Elephas maximus indicus: one gene and its partner. The protein of the gene in region 1 binds, or shares a complex with, the protein of each later gene. Links are inferred from orthologs where the notes say so. Each region holds a gene or a part of one and is shown in the gene's direction. Other genes may lie near its edges.

Region 1 (7,633 bases):
CTTTTTTAAATCACAGCTGTAGGCCCTCCTCTTGACTATGCCAGCAGGTAGGCCCTTCTCTTGGCTATGCCAGGAGGCAGTTGCTTTTTTGACCACACCAGCTTGACAGGCCCTTTTTTCAGCAGGCCAACCAGCAGCCCTTCTCTCAGCATGCCAGCTGACAACCCTCCTCTTAGCTGTACCAGCCTGTGGGCCCTCTCTAAACCCCTGCCCTGCAGAGGCAAGTGTTACAACTCTTTTGGTTCCACTGACAAGTGCTTGTAGGCATCCCACTCAGCCAGCAAGGCTCCTGCCTGAAGGCACTCAGCTTTCTCTCACTCCACGGGCCAGCAAGCCCACTGTAGCCGCCTTGCTCTGTGGGCTGGCAATCACCACTGTAGCCATCTGTTGTCCCCGTGGTTCTTGCTGTTCATACTGCTGCTGCTGTTCCTCTGCCACTGGGCTCTGCTGTGGTTGCCACTATTTCTTGCCATCTTACACTGTCTTGTGTTATAGCTCTCTCTCTCTCCTGGGACTACAAGGTTCTTAGTGCAGGGACCCCAGATCCAAAAGATGTGCTCTACTCCAGAGTCCTCTTCTTGGTGGTAATGAGGTCCCCCTCAACCTCTGTGGTACTGGCCCTTATACTCAATTTCAAGGCATGTCCTTCCCAGCCAGACCATGAGCTGACCAATCTTCTTGGTACACTGCACTTAATCTGCATAGTAATGGACAAATTTCCTCAAGGTCACTTAATCCTACTGCATTGTCTTACATACCCTATCTGCATAGTATACTGACCAATCGCTTGTAAAACTGTGGTCCAGCCGATCATTTTTGGCAGAATTATAAACCCAAGGCCAGAAAGGCCACGTATAAGAGAAACCCATTGCACTAAAGAGATTCAGGAATGTTACTATTGTGCCCTATCAAGGTGATTCCAACTCATAGCAACCCTACAGGATACAGCAGAACTGCACTATAGGGTTTCCTAAGCTGTAATCTTTATGAGAGCAGATTGCCAGGTCTTTTCTCCCAAGGAACTTCTGGCAGCTTAGAACCACTGACCTTTCAGTTAGCAGCCAAGGGCTTACTCATTGTGCTACCAGGGCTCTCAGGAGTCGCTGGAGGAAATGGAATGTGTGGCTAACTGCCTCCGTGAGTAGGTATGTTTCAAACTGAGAAATGAATGACAAAAAGACGGCTACTTGAAGATCTGGAGAGAAGCATTCCAGGGAAAGGGAACAACCAAGGCAGATAACAACTTGGCATGGCTGAGGAATAGAAAGTAGGTGAGAAGGGCTGGAGTCCAGTGAAGAGAGGAGATTACCAGGAGGTGAAATCAGAAGTAAGTGGGGGTCAGATTCAGTAAAGCCCTGTAAACCATAAGAAGGCATCTGGAGTAAATTTTTATTGTCATCAGGAGTCATTTGAGGGCTTTAGCCATGGACTTCCATGGTCTGATTTTCTTTTTTTTTAAGACCATTAGGGCTACTGTAAGAAGCCCTGGTGACAGAGTAGTTAAGCAGCTCAGCTGCCAAAAAGTTGGCAGTTCTAACCCATCACTTGCTCCGTGGAGAAATATGTGGTAGTCTGCTTCCTTAAAGACTGCAGCCTCGGAAGCCCTATGCGGTAGTTTTACTCTTTCCTATAGGGTTGCTATGAGTTGGGACAGATTCTGCAGAATCCACCAGGCACTCCTTAGAAACTCTATGGAGCAGTTCTACTTTGTTCTATAGGGTTGCTATGAGTCGGAATCGACTTGACGGCAATGGGTTTGGTTTTTGGTCCTGGTATGCCACATACTGTGGTAAGGGGCTAGGCAATACAAGATAAACTGGACATAGTCCCTGCACTCAGTGAATATATGATTTGAAGGAAAGCATTGGATATAAAAAAGAAAACATGCTATTCATACCAAGTAATAGAGTTCATGTGTTGCGCTATGAAATATTATCCTTAATAATCTCTAACGTCAGCTGCCTTTTTTAGTTATCTACTTCATTCATTCATTTAATAAATATTTACTGTGTGCCAAGAGTTTTTCTGGGTTGATCTTCCAAGGTTAAAGTGACAGACAAGGTCCGTATTGTCAAGGAGCTTATACAGTAGTAGAAGACACAGAAAATAAGTAAACAAAGAAAAGGTGTCAAATAATAATAAGTGCCATAATGATGTGATAGGCATTGACTAGGGACTACTTTTTATTGGATGCTCAAAAAAGACCTTTCCTATATGCCAGAATTGACTCCACGGCATGAAAAAGCCGGAAAATGAAAAAAGAAGACAGAAGAATTGGTGCATTCAAATGGTAGTGTTGGTGAAGAATACTGATTATATCATGGACTGCCAGAAGAATGAACAAATGTGTCTTGGAGGAAGCACAGCCAGAATGCTTGTTAGAAGGGAGGACGGTGAGGCTTTGTATCACTTACTTTGGATCATGCTTGGTAGAGGGTCAGCAAAAAAGAGGGAGACCTTCAACAAGATGGACTGACACAGTGGCTGAAACAATGCAGGATCAGGCAACGTTTCATTGTTACACATAAGGTTGCTATGAGTCAGAGCTGACTCAATGGCACCTGACAACAATACATAAGGTCTCCATGAATGAGAGCCCACTTAATGGCAATAACTACAGGGCTAGTACTTACGTGAAAGTGCCATGAAGGTACTTTAGCTGCAGTATCTCTTTTAATCTTGATAACAAGTCCACAAGGTAAGTATTTTCTTTGTTGTAGTTGTTAGGTGTCCACCAGTCAGCCCACAACGCATGATGACTTCATGCACAACGGAAAGATACTCTGCCCAGTCATCTGCGAATCAGACAGCTGTGATCCATACGGTTTTCACTGGTTTATTTTTGGCAGTAGTTCACCAGACCTTTCTTTCTAGTCACTCTTAGTCTAGAAGCTCTACCAAAACCTGTTCAGCATCATAGCAACACAACTGATCACTGACACAGAAATGTAGATTGTGCATGAGGTGCATTGGCCGGGAATTGAACCCGGGTCTCCCATAAGGAAGGCAAAAATTCTGCCACTGAACCACAAATGCCTCTTACTTTCCTTCTATATAGATGTTATTAGCTTCTTTTTATATACGAGCATCTCTGATGCTCAGAGCGTCATATATGCTCACAGCAGTGGATCATGGATTCATGCCTGTCTGACACAGGGTTCTTCTTTCTATCACATACTAAACCCGCTGTGGCTGAGTCAATTCCGACTCATAGTGATCCCATAGGACAGAGAAGAACCGCCCCATAGAGTTTCCAAGGAGCGCCTGGTGGATCTGAACTGCCTTTTGGTTAGGAGCCATAGCACTAAACCGCTATGCCACCAGGGTTTCCTCTATCACACCAGGTTGTTTTATAGATGCGTTAGGAGAATCTGTGAATTTCTGAGTGGACAATTTTTAACTTTTTTTGAGTGAAAGATTTTTTAAAAGGTCTGTTTAGTCTGGGGAGAATGAAGCTTATTCAGATTTTAAGCCAAGGCTATAAAATCACCAGTATTTTCTGTCCTTATATGACTTAACTGTGGCATGTTCCACTTATATTTACTTTTTTTCTGGATATTACTTTCTTTCTCCTTGCTCAAATGTTGACTGATTGCCTCTTATTTCTTCACTGCCCCTTAACTGTGGCTGTTTTACAGGGACTTTTAGCCTTCTTTCCTCACTTTACACATTCCTTTTATACAATATCATATTCTTATACCTTCAAATACTAAACATATGCTTATGACTCTAAAATCTTTTGCTTCTAATTCAGACATTTCTCTCTAGTCTTGGGAGAATAGGACCAAAGGTTCCAGAAAGCAGTTCAGTTTGGTGGGAAACGGTGGAAAAGTGAAGTGCAGGGCTATGAAGGATCATTTGAACATTCATTCATTATTTAATCCACTTACTATTTACTACACACTTACGCTGAGGCTGTTCCTGTGGAACTTCACAACTACAGTGGCAGACATCACAAGCAGAGCAATTACATTCACGTCGAGCGTTAACGAAGGGTGCAGGTGGCCAGGAAGGTACTAGTGCATTAAGTCCTCAGACACAGGTACATAAAGCACAAAGGCAGAATTCCACCTAGTGCCTCAAAGGGATTTAATGAAAATCTTGGAGTTTATCAGTTCACTAGATCATTAAAAAGGAAATAATCGAATGTAACACTATTTTAACGCTGGGAACGATTAAGAGATTCGGGGCAGAATGTTGCAGCAGGCCATGACTGGGGAATGTGAGAAGATTGGATACACCTAAGTAGAGAAAAATGAAAACCCGCCGAGGGATGTTACAAGCCATGTGTTTGTTTAAAAGTCACGGTAAAAAAGCCCCCACCAAACGCTGCCTTTGCTCTCGTCAGCCTCCCGAGCGTTCCCAAACTTCCGGCGCGCTAGGCACCGTCCATCTTGCTCCGCCCCTTCCCCCAAAGCCTCTCCGCACAGCCGCGTGCACGTGCGTGGCGAATCCCGCCCCCTCCGCGCTCTCGGCCAATGAGAAATAGCATCGTAACTCGCTACCGCCCGGCCGTCCGTCACGTGACCGCATCTCCCCGCCCCTTCACCTCGCTGTTTCTAGGTTCTGTGAAGATGGCGAAAGTCTCTGAGCTTTACGATGTCACCTGGGAAGGTAACTGCGAGCTCGGGGTGGGGGCGGGGGAGGGTGCGCAGAAAGATCAAAATCTCTGGGAAGCAGTTCGGAAGTACCGCTGCTCTCGGAGAGTTGAGTTCTCATGTCTGTTTCCGGTACCGTGTTTCTCAGTGGACGCGCCAGACTGAAGTCTGAGAGGGGCCCCTGCCTTGGCCCGGCCACGGACTGGGGTCCGCGGCGTTCCCGCCGCGTGTGTTCATCTGGAGACTGGTCCGCCTATCTCCGCGCCAATCCACTGGCTCAGGGTAGCTTCTGTTGTGAGGCGGAGGGGACGTGGTGCTGGGGCTGTCACACTCTTGCGGTGGCTGCTGGGCGGCGCGGAGGAGGCAGGACAAGTAGCTGCTGTAGCTTCTTTGCAACCAAGAAATACAGGGCCTGTAAGGCCTTGTACTCAGCGCTGTGTCAGGGTTACACGTCTGTGCAGAAAAGGTGTAGAAGGTCCGTGAACAAATCTGATTCTTCTAAATCTTACTTTTTGTTTCGTTCTCTCTTCAAAACCGGGTTTTGACCCCCCCTTTATTTATTTTTTCCATATTTCTTTACCTTTCAAAACACATTTACACAACAGAACTTTTTTCTTACTTCCTACCGGTATTACTTTTCCGCAGGGGAGAAGAACTGGTTAGCTTAGGGGCACCTGCTCAAGTGTGATGGACTTCTGGGTTGATGTAAGGTGGGGCGTGTTCTTTAAAATCCAGAAGCAGCCAAACCTTGGGCCAGCTCTGTAAGAGAGATTTTATCTTCTCAAAAAGTTTTATTGTTGTATGCTTTCGAGTGGATTCCTACTTAGCATATTCCATTAGACTTCAATAACTAATCTGTTCAATAGATGCCTTCTTGGAGTGTTTAATACTTGGGAACTGAAAGTTTGGTGGTAAATAAAGAAAGAGAAGGGAAAATTCTTTTATACTTGAACTGAGTTCAATGCTTTATTGGCTTTATGGCCTCTAACACTCTGTGAACCTCAGTGTTTCCACCTGTATTGGGGAAATGCGTTATGTTAAACAAAGGTGTTAAGTAAGGAGAGTTAGATCTTGCATATACCAGGTTAAGTGACACACAGTCCCACCTTCCTAGTTTGATGGAGAAGTCCAAACTCAAACCCATTGTTGATTTCCTACTCATAATGACTCTGTAGGACAGGGTAGAGCTGCTCCATAGGGTTTCCAAGGCTGTAAATCTTTGTGGAAGCAAACTGCCCCGTCTTTCTCCTGGGGAGCGGCTGGCTGGTGGGTTTGAACGCAGACCTTCAGTTTGCAGCTGAGTGCTTTAACCACTGCACCACCAGAGTTCCTTTGATGGAGCACATAGACCTGTAAATACGTTGTGTCAGGATATGTTTTTTTAAGCTGGGTAGTGGATACGTGGCTGTTATTTTTAATGCTTCAGTTGTTTCATAATTTTTAGAAAGTGCTTTGATGAATGTTCAACATAGGCTTCTTAGAGGATGGTAGCATTGTAGGGGATCTTGAGAGAGGTATAACTACCAGCAGACAACATGGTTAAACCACTTGGACTTTACCCTTTGGGCATTCTAAAGAGGAGTGAAAGAATTAGGTTTGGAATAAGTAATAACTACTTCACAAGTTTGTTGAGTGACAAAACGTAAAACATGTTGAAGTACTTTCTTAAATACTTTAGAAAAGGATACATTTTTATTAGGTAATAACATGATTATGTCCTTCTCCTGTGTAGTTTGGGTCCTGCACACATCTCCGGTTTTATCTCGAGCTATTTTCCCTCTAAAGAAGCTCTGATGGTGCAATGGTTAAGCACTTGGCTGCTAACCAAAAGGTTTGAATCCACCCAGCGGCTCTGTGGGAGAAAAGACCTGGTGATCTGCTCCTGTAAACACTACAGACTTGGAAACCCTATGGAGCAGTTCAACGCTGTCATACACAAGGTCACTATGAGCCAGAGGACTCCTGGTGGTGTAGTGGTTAAGAGTTTGGGTGCTAACCAAAAGACCGGTGTCTGAATCCACCAGCTGCTCCTTGGAAATTGGATGGGGCAGTTCTACTCTGTTCTATAGGTATTGACTCAATTAGCAATGGGTTTGTTTTTTTTTCAAATGAGTCAGAGGAGCCGTGGTGGCACAAAGGTTAAGAGCTATGGCCGCTAACAAATAGGTCAGCAGTTTGAATCCACCAGGTGCTCCCTGGAAACTTTACGTGGCAGTTCTACTCTGTTCTGTAAGGTCACTATGAGTTGGAATCAACTTGACAGCAATGGTTTTTTTTTTTTTTTTTCTTTAAGAGTCTGAATCAACTTGGTGGCACATAAAAACATTCTCCCTCTCAACTTTCTCTGAGCTGGTTACATTGGCTTTCCTTGAATTTCCTAAATGTGCTGTGCTCTTTCTTGGCTTCAGGATGAGCACGTGTTATTCCAGGAGTGTTCTTTCTTTCTTGTCCTCCTCTTGCCTCATTACCCTTTTCATTTCATGTAGTTTCCCTCAAAGGTTACATACTTAAGACATCGACTCTGCTTTCCCAGTTCTCTGGCAAAAGAAAAAAGAGAAAAACAAAACCTAAACAGCAATAAGAAAAGAAAACAAACAAACAAAAAGCCTAGGCCTGATCCTATAAGTACATGTTCTCATACTTTGGAAGCATTTGCCCAGTTGTGTAAGTTTTAAAAATGTTTGTCTCTCCATCTAGAAGAAGAGGCCTATATTGTTCATTGTCACATCACTCCCCCCCACCAAAAAAAAACCAAACTCATTGCCCTTGAGTTGATCCTGACTCGTGGCAACCCCATGTGTTTGTGTTATAGAGTAGAACTCCTCCGTAGGGTTTTCCTGGCTGTAATCTTTTTGGAAACAGATTGCCAGGCCTTTCTCCAGTGGTGCCACTGGGTGAGTTTGAACCACCAACCTTTAGGTTAGCAGCTGAGAGCATACTGTTTGTGCCACCCAGGGAGCCTTGTCATATCACTCCCACCCACCAAAACCCACTGCCATCAAGATATCACTAGTGCCTGGCATATAGGAGGGGCC
Region 2 (7,919 bases), on another chromosome or scaffold:
GGGGCGTCCTTCAGTATGCGGTCCGCCGGGGGTTGGGGGAAAGAACGACGGGGGCGGGGCTGAGGGGGGCGGGCCTGGACCTGGGGAGTGAAAGCGAAAGCCCAGGCGGCGAGCCGGGAGACCGAAGACCTTGCAACTGGAGGAGCATGGCCAAGCCTTGTGGGGTACGCCTGAGCGGGGAGGCCCGCAAACAGGTAATGGGGGGACCGGGAAGGCCAGGAAGGGGCCGCGAAGCCCGCTTGGGTGAAGGCAAAGCTGGATGCTCCGGAGGACCAAGGCCACGCCAGAGAACTTCCTCAGTCCCTCACTTTAGTGCTTTCACTTCTGTCTGGGGATTCCCAGATTCCTGGCCTTTGGCCAGCTTGCACTGAGCCAGGGGCTCCCAGGAAGAACTGGCCGCTGGTGGGAAAGGCCTGAGTCACAGGGGAGGGCACCCCTTTTGGCGGGAGAGGGTGGTGGGCTCTTTCTTATTCTTGGCAACTGAGACTTAACCAGCATCCTGAACTGCTCTCTGCAGGTGGATGTCTTCAGGCAAAATCTCTTCCAGGAGGTAAGTCTCTGGACTCAAGCGATTTGACTCAGAAGCTTAAACCAGTACTTGAGGGTCACAACCTCAGAGTGACTCGCAAACCCACCCTACACCTGGGCACTACTTCCCTTATGAAGCCTTCACCCAGAGTGAGCTCCTAATTATTGATTTCTGCCTTTAATTTCATCCCTCTTAAGATTCTACTCTCTTTCTGCCACTTTCCCTCCCCTCTTTTGGTGTAGATGGAAAAGCCATGGCCCCAAAGCCAGAATACCCTAGTCCTAACCTCAGTGGTGAAGTGGTTGAGGGCTACCACTGCAAACCAAAAGGTCTACAGTTCAAATCCACCAGCCACTCCTTGGAAACCCTATGGGGCCATTCTACTCTGTCCTATAGGGTCTCTATGAGTCAGAGTTAACTTCATGGCAATGAGTTTGGTTTTGGTTTGGTTAACCTTGGTTCAGCCACTTAACCAGCTTGGCAAGTCCATTACCTTTTCAGGGCTTCATTTCCTCAGTTGTAAGTCTTGAACTCAATGATTTCCAAGGGTCCTTTCAGCCCTCCTTCTCAATCTCATTGAACGCCTTCTGTGATTGCCCCCACCCTTGCCATGTAACCCACAGGCTGAGGAATTCCTCTGCACATTCTTGCCGCAGAAGATCGTATACCTGAATCAGCTCTTGAAAGTGAGTAGTGTGGGCCCTTCCTGCCTCATCCCGTGGCCTCTCTTCCATCCGCTCACCCTCTCTAGCCAATGACTGGGCTCAGCACCCAGAGAACAGTTGTGAATGGTGGGTAGGAGCATTAGGATGGTGTGAGGCCTAAGCCTAGGTTGGGAGGCAGAGGGTGGGTGGGATGAGTGGAGGGAAGACTCTGGGCAGCCTCTGACAGTGAGCTCTATGCAGGAAGACTCCTTCAGTGTGACTGACCTGACTTCCCTCCGGGCCCCACTGGACATCCCTATCCCAGACCCCCCACCCAAGGATGATGAGGTGAGGTACTCAGGGTGCAGGGATTGGACCATAAACCCAATAAAGACGATGGCACGCCAGCCTCCATGAGGTTTCTAAAGTGATTTTCCTCCATTTTGCCTTAGATGGAAACAGATAAGCAGGAGAAAAAAGAAGGTAAGAGAAGAAGGGGTAGATAGGGAAGTGGAAAATGGCATATTGACTGCTAAATGAGAAGGGGCCTCCATCTCCTGTTTCTCACAGCCCCTAAGTGCGGCTTTCTCCCTGGAAACGAGAAGCTGCTGGCCCTGCTTGCCCTAGTTAAGCCAGAAGTCTGGACTCTCAAAGAGAAATGCATTCTGGTAAGTCTGGGAGCTCGGAGAAGAGGAAAGAGAAGATAAGCAAGGCCAGACCCTGGCCTCCTTCAGAGAGGCAAGCCCTTTATTCAGGGACCTAGTCCCAAAACAGGAAATGTCTTTCTGTGCCTTAGTTTTAGATGCCCTTTGTTCTCTTCCTCATTCTGCTAGACCTGTGGTATCATAATGGTGCCCTGAAGTCAGAGACTATGCTGTACCCACTTCTCATCTCAGAACATACTGGTGTACCAGGTACACAGTGGAAGTGGTATGATATATGAGTGGTTTAAGCACTCAGGCCATAGAGAAAGACTATCTGGATTCACATCCTGACTTATCACTTACCTAGGTGGTCACCTTGAATAAGTCACTTAGACTGTGACTCAGATTTCTCATCCTTTAAGTGGGAATAGCAAATGTGTATGCCTTGAAGGTTTCTGTGAAGACTAAATTAGATAAATAATACATATCATAGTGCCTGCACATAGTAAGTACTCAATTAAATATAACCTATCAAAAAAAAATTTTTTTTTTATTTTTAAGAAGTGGCACGAGGTATGTTGAATGCTTCCTACATGATACCTCTTAATCTAGGTGATCACATGGATCCAGCATCTGATTCCCAAGATTGAGGACGGAAATGATTTTGGGGTGGCAATCCAGGTAAGATATGGGTGAGTGAGGGCACTGAGAGTGGGGAGAGACTTGGAGAGGGATAGGATCTAGCCATGAGTTAGGAGGAAGAAGGAGATGGTTGGTGAAGGAGAAAGGAAATGAGGTGTTTTCTTTCCACCCTCATCTTTTATCACCACAGGAGAAAGTGCTGGAGAGGGTGAATGCAGTCAAGACCAAGGTGGAAGCCTTCCAGACAACCATTTCCAAGTGAGGGCAGCTGGGGGCTGCAGGAACATTTCTTTGAGAGTCTTAAGACTGTCCTGTCCCAGCAGGACAATGGGGGACTTTGGGAAGGGTCTGAGGGAGTGTATTTCCTTGAACACCCATTCCTGGGGTTACTTCCCTTGCTTCTGGCAGGTACTTCTCAGAACGTGGGGATGCAGTGGCCAAGGCCTCCAAGGAGACCCATGTAGTAAGTGGATAGTCCACCAGCCTTTTAGCTGAGGCTGGCTGGAGGTGCGAAGGAAAGGGGGGAGTGGATTTCCTTGTCTTATTTATGATCTTACCAGTGCAGAGGACATCTAATCAAAAGCATTCTCTAGAAAAGCTGATTTGGGCTTCAAAAGCCTTGATCCTTTTCTCTGCTTGATCATGTGGGATCCTGTTTCTTGGTGCGGAGAAGGAATTCATTCTCAAGTTACCTATTCCCTATATGAGGAAACCAGACTAATGTCCCAGCCTCCTAGGATGCTGACTCAACTTTGCCTCCCACATCCCAGATGGATTACCGGGCCCTGGTGCATGAGCGAGATGAGGCAGCCTATAGGGATCTCAGAGCCATGGTGCTGGACTTAAGGACCTTCTATGTGAGTATGGAGTGAGCCCCTAAGAGGAGGCATGTGATGTGGGCCGGGGGGAGGGGGGGAGCGGGGGAAGGGAGGAGAAGAACCTGACTGCTGCCCTTCTGGCTTTCTTCCTAGGCTGAGCTTTATCATATAATCAGCAGCAACCTGGAGAAAATTGTCAATCCAAAGGGTGAAGAGAAGCCATCTATGTACTGAGCCCTGGGCTAGAAAGGAATAAATGACCTGGATTACTTCTGTTGTGTGTCCTTGTCATTCATTCAAAAAGCATTTATTGAGTGCCACCTGTGTCTAAATACTGCGCGTATATGTGATAGAGGGAAGAGGGTGCCAGGAAGACAAACATGAATCAGACGCCCGTCCTAAAGGAGTCCTAAAGAACAGGGCGAACCTATTACATGCCATGACAGCCATGCAGATAACCTGCTTTATGGAATTTCACAAGTTATTTCCATCCAGGAGTCTCATGAATGCTTCACGGAAAAGATGGCATTTGGGCAAAACCCTTACAGGAATAATCAGGGTTTGGACAGACAAGGGGAAAGTTCTGTGGCTGTGGTTGGAGAATGAAGGAAGGAATTGGTCTCATCAAAGAAAACTGAGCAAAACTGGAAGGAGGATCGAGGTTTCACTGGGAGAATTAAGGGTGAATAGTTGAACCCCTTCTCAAGCACTGGAAAGGGGAAAAAAGTTCCCAAGGCATTGTAGTGAAGGAAATTACAACACGGTGCGTTATGGGAAGGATGGATCTATAGGATTTTTCTTTTGGTCCTTTTTTTCCCCTTTATTAACCAATTGCCGTATTTATCTCTGCCTTTCAGGATTCCGAAACCCTGGTGGCATAGTGGTTAAGTGCTACAGCTGCTGACCAAAGGGTTGGCAGTTTGAATCCGCCAGGCGCTCCCTGGTAACTCTATGGGGCAGTTCTACTTTGTCCTGTAGGGTCGCAATCAACCCTACGGCACCGGGTTTGGTTTTGGTTTAGGTTCAGGATTCAGCCCTGTTCAGATGGTAGAGGCAAGAGTTCCTCTACTGTGGTCTTTGCTATAAACTCCATGGGATTGTTCAGTAATTCAGGGTCTTATCTTGTTTTTAAATATGGAATAATAATGTTGCCTCGTACTTGACAGTTTGGAAACCGGTCCCCATACGCTATCTCATTTAATTCTTAAAGCACCATGGGCAACTGGTATTACATTAAGGAAACCAAGGGCCAGATAATCTGTAGTCTCGAGGGTAACACGGCTCGTAAGTAAGTGACAGGGTCAGTCTGGAGTCCAGATCCGCTCATTCCATAACAGGAGCAAGGAGGTCCGCTACGTCTGCATGTTTGAAAAACCACTGCGTCGGAACATCTTGCGCGGGCCTCGGGCTTTACCGGGTTGGCTCCGCCGGGCTTGTGGGGGCGGGCAGCACAGGTAACAGACAAAACCATTCGGCAATCATGAGCGGAAGTCGGCTAGCCTAGCCAATAAGTGCGCCGACCAATGGTTTATTGTTGTAAACTTCAGTTTGGATGGAGGCAAAAGCCGCTGATTGGATAAAATGAGAACCTCTAAGCCTATCAAAGAGCACCACATGGGCGGGACTCTTGCCGCGGGTCCGGCTTGGAGCAGCAGGCGCTGAACACTGGCAAAAGGCGCTGATCCGCATCCGCCCGCCGGGGGCGGGGGAAGGCGGGGCTCAGTACCGCGGGATGCAATCGGGACCTCCTTCTGGGCAGGGCCGGGGGCGGGCACCCGGGTCGAGGTCTCCGGGAGCCTTCGGGCTGCCTTCGAGCCGAGGCGGCTTCACGGGCGAACGTAAGCGAAGGGGTACCAAGGTGTTGGTGTCGGTAGTCAAGGAGGGCGCCGGGGTGCTGGAGGGAGCTGGGCGGACACGAGCTAGGGGCTTCGCAGGGTGGCGTGGGAACCGGCACTAACTGGGCTTACTTCGTACCCGGGCAGGCCCCTCTCGCCATGGGGGAGGTGGAGATCTCAGCCCGGGCCTACGTGAAGATGTGCCTGCACGCCGCCCGGTACCCGCACGCTGCTGTCAACGGGCTGTTGCTGGCGCCGGCGCCGCGGACCGGGGAATGTCTGTGCCTCACAGACTGTGTGCCCCTATTCCACAGCCACCTGGCCCTGTCCGTCATGCTGGAGGTCGCCCTCAACCAGGTGCCGCCGCTGGACGCCAACCGACTACCGCGAATGCCCCCAAAACCCCTAGCCCAAGCCCATTCCTGGCCCCTTGCGGTAGTGCGGACCCACAGGGCCGGCATCACGCTTTAGTTACTGATGGCCCCTTTCCCACGGCAGGTGGATGTGTGGGGTGCACAGGGCGGTCTGGTGGTGGCTGGGTACTACCATGCCAATGCAGCTCTGGACGACCAGAGGTGAGTTGGGTAGCCAAAAGCAGAAGGCAAAGGGTTATGGGGTGGGAGTCAAGAGAGCCAAGGTCATTCCTTCTATTTTTCCTTCCTTAAACACTTAGGAGCAGAGTCTGTACATCTGGCACTATGCTGGGTACTGGAGTGAGGAAATACAATGATGAGTAAGACAGCAGTGTTCTGGAGGAGCTGGGGGTGGGGTGGGGTGGGGAGGACAACTGTGTATCAATAAGAACAGGTTAACACTTCCTTTATGAGAGTGCCTCCCAATTACTGAACGAACAGAGGGGAAATGCAACCAGCAACTTAATAAAAAGGAAATCATATACATATAGATAAGATAGGTAGAGATAATTACATTTATCAATCATATAAATGGATCAAATGATTGTAGTGTTTTGTAATTTGTTCCCCTGCATAATAAATAAATGACATCTTTCCATCTCTACACCAAGATCTACCTTACCCTAACAGCTATAGTGTATGCATATGAATGTCTATAATTTATTTAGTGCTTTACATTAAGCATTGAGGTGGCTTCCAATTTTTTGCTATTACAAAAAGCAAAAAAAAAAAAAAACCTATTGCCATCGAGTGGATTACAACTCATAGCAACCCTGTAAGACAGTAGAACTGCACTCTAGGGTTTCTAAGGAGCGGCTGGTGGATTCCAACTGCAGACCTTTTGGTTAGCAGCCATACACTGTCTTATTATTATAGTAGATTCTTTGTAAGTGAAATTTCTGGGTCAGTACATGTATATTAAGCAGTTTTGATATTCATTCTCACCAACAGTGTCTGTTTCCCATCATAGCATTCAAACATCATGCAGTTGTACATCAAACTGAGCTAACCCCACCCCCAGCCCCTACCCAGCTACAAGGAAAGGTCACAACTGCACCCATATCTGGGAGACCCAGCTCAGATGATGGGGCCTGTCCAGCCAGTTCCTCATTCCTCTGATCTTTCCTCTACACAGCCCTGGGCCCCTGGCCTTGAAAATTGCTGGGCGAATTGCAGAATTCTTCCCTGATGCAGTACTCATCATGGTGAGCCTTGGGATTCAGGGTTGGGGGAGTCGGAGAGAACATCGTGGGTGGGATCTTTGAAACTCGCTTGTCTTTGTCCACCAGCTAGATAATCAGAAACTGGTGCCTCAACCTCGTGTGCCCCCAGTCATTGTCCTGGAGAACCATGGTCTCCGCTGGGCCCCCAAAGACAAGAACTTGTGAGTGCCCTACTCCCTCCACTTCTTGGAAGTCCAAAGTTCCTGGGTTCCCTCTGTCCTGCCCCAAAAGTCCTTCCCTAGACCTAACTTCTGCCAAGTTCTGCATCTGGCCCCATCGCCTACTGTTTGACTTCCATGGTGGTTACTATTTCAGAGTGATGTGGAGGGACTGGGAAGAGTCGCGGCAGATGGTAGGAGCACTTCTGGAGGGCCGGGCCCACCAGCACCTTGTGGACTTTGACTCACACCTTGATGACATCCGGCAGGACTGGACCAACCAGCAGCTGAATACCCAAATCACCCAGTGGATTGATCCCACTAATGAAAATGCTTGAGCCAGGGTCAGTGGGGCCAGGATCCAATAAAGAGACTTGGGCTGATGGGTAACAGTATGATTATATTTATTGTGCCTAGATGGCAAGGTGAGAGAGAAACCTCAACAGGAGAAAAATGGGGGGAAAGTCTGGAGTCCCCGATAAAAGGCAGGAGGGTCTCTGTTGCACTCATCACAAAAATGAGAGCAGAGGCCCTCAATAAATCATCCCCTTTGTTTCTCCCCTGGGCTTCTTGAGTTTTTCGAAGTTCTTCAGGATGATGTCATATAGCACTGCCTACAGGGCCAGGGAGGAGTGGGGGGTCAGCTGTAGGTGCCAGTCGCTCTGTGCCCCATTTCCAGCCTTGTGAAGAGGCCACGCTTTGTCACCCTTTACCCCCAGCCTGCAGGGTCTGGGAGCGGGTGGCCTGGGAAAGCTGCCTCTGCCCACCCCTGCCCTGCGCTGCCCTCGCCTCCTCACGTAAGCATTGCGGATCTCCATGATCCTCAGACGGATGTCCCGGTACTCCGCCTCATCCAGCTCATGCACCAGCTGCCGATAATCACCCTGAGGGAGACTTGGGGTCAGCCTGACTTCATCCAAGTGTGTCCATCCCCCCGTATATCCCGACCTGTGCTACCTACCACATGGGGTTGCTTGGCTGCTTTGGTTACTGCATCACCCCGCTCAGAGAAA

What was found.
Region 2: EMC2 (region 1) and EMC9 share a complex: the UniProt entries of both Homo sapiens proteins name them as parts of the ER membrane protein complex. The link is inferred for Elephas maximus indicus from reciprocal best matches to the Homo sapiens genes EMC2 and EMC9.

Annotation. Positions count from the first base shown.
Region 1 is NC_064833.1:33,787,321-33,794,953, reverse strand, and holds the start of EMC2 (ER membrane protein complex subunit 2), read left to right. Parts: upstream 1-4,528; 5' UTR 4,529-4,574; coding exon 4,575-4,614; intron 4,615-7,633. UniProt on the Homo sapiens protein: Part of the endoplasmic reticulum membrane protein complex (EMC) that enables the energy-independent insertion into endoplasmic reticulum membranes of newly synthesized membrane proteins.
Region 2 is NC_064828.1:35,498,028-35,505,946, reverse strand, and holds EMC9 (ER membrane protein complex subunit 9), read left to right. Parts: upstream 1-4,989; 5' UTR 4,990-5,115; intron 5,116-5,259; 5' UTR 5,260-5,271; coding exon 5,272-5,469; intron 5,470-5,610; coding exon 5,611-5,687; intron 5,688-5,785; coding exon 5,786-5,845; intron 5,846-6,660; coding exon 6,661-6,730; intron 6,731-6,814; coding exon 6,815-6,909; intron 6,910-7,063; coding exon 7,064-7,244; 3' UTR 7,245-7,294; downstream 7,295-7,919. Other genes in the region: PSME2 (proteasome activator complex subunit 2), read left to right, coding at 147-194, 518-550, 1,153-1,215, 1,435-1,521, 1,626-1,656, 1,744-1,841, 2,430-2,498, 2,650-2,717 and 3 more; PSME1 (proteasome activator complex subunit 1), read right to left, coding at 7,440-7,520, 7,704-7,790, 7,868-7,919. UniProt on the Homo sapiens protein: Part of the endoplasmic reticulum membrane protein complex (EMC) that enables the energy-independent insertion into endoplasmic reticulum membranes of newly synthesized membrane proteins.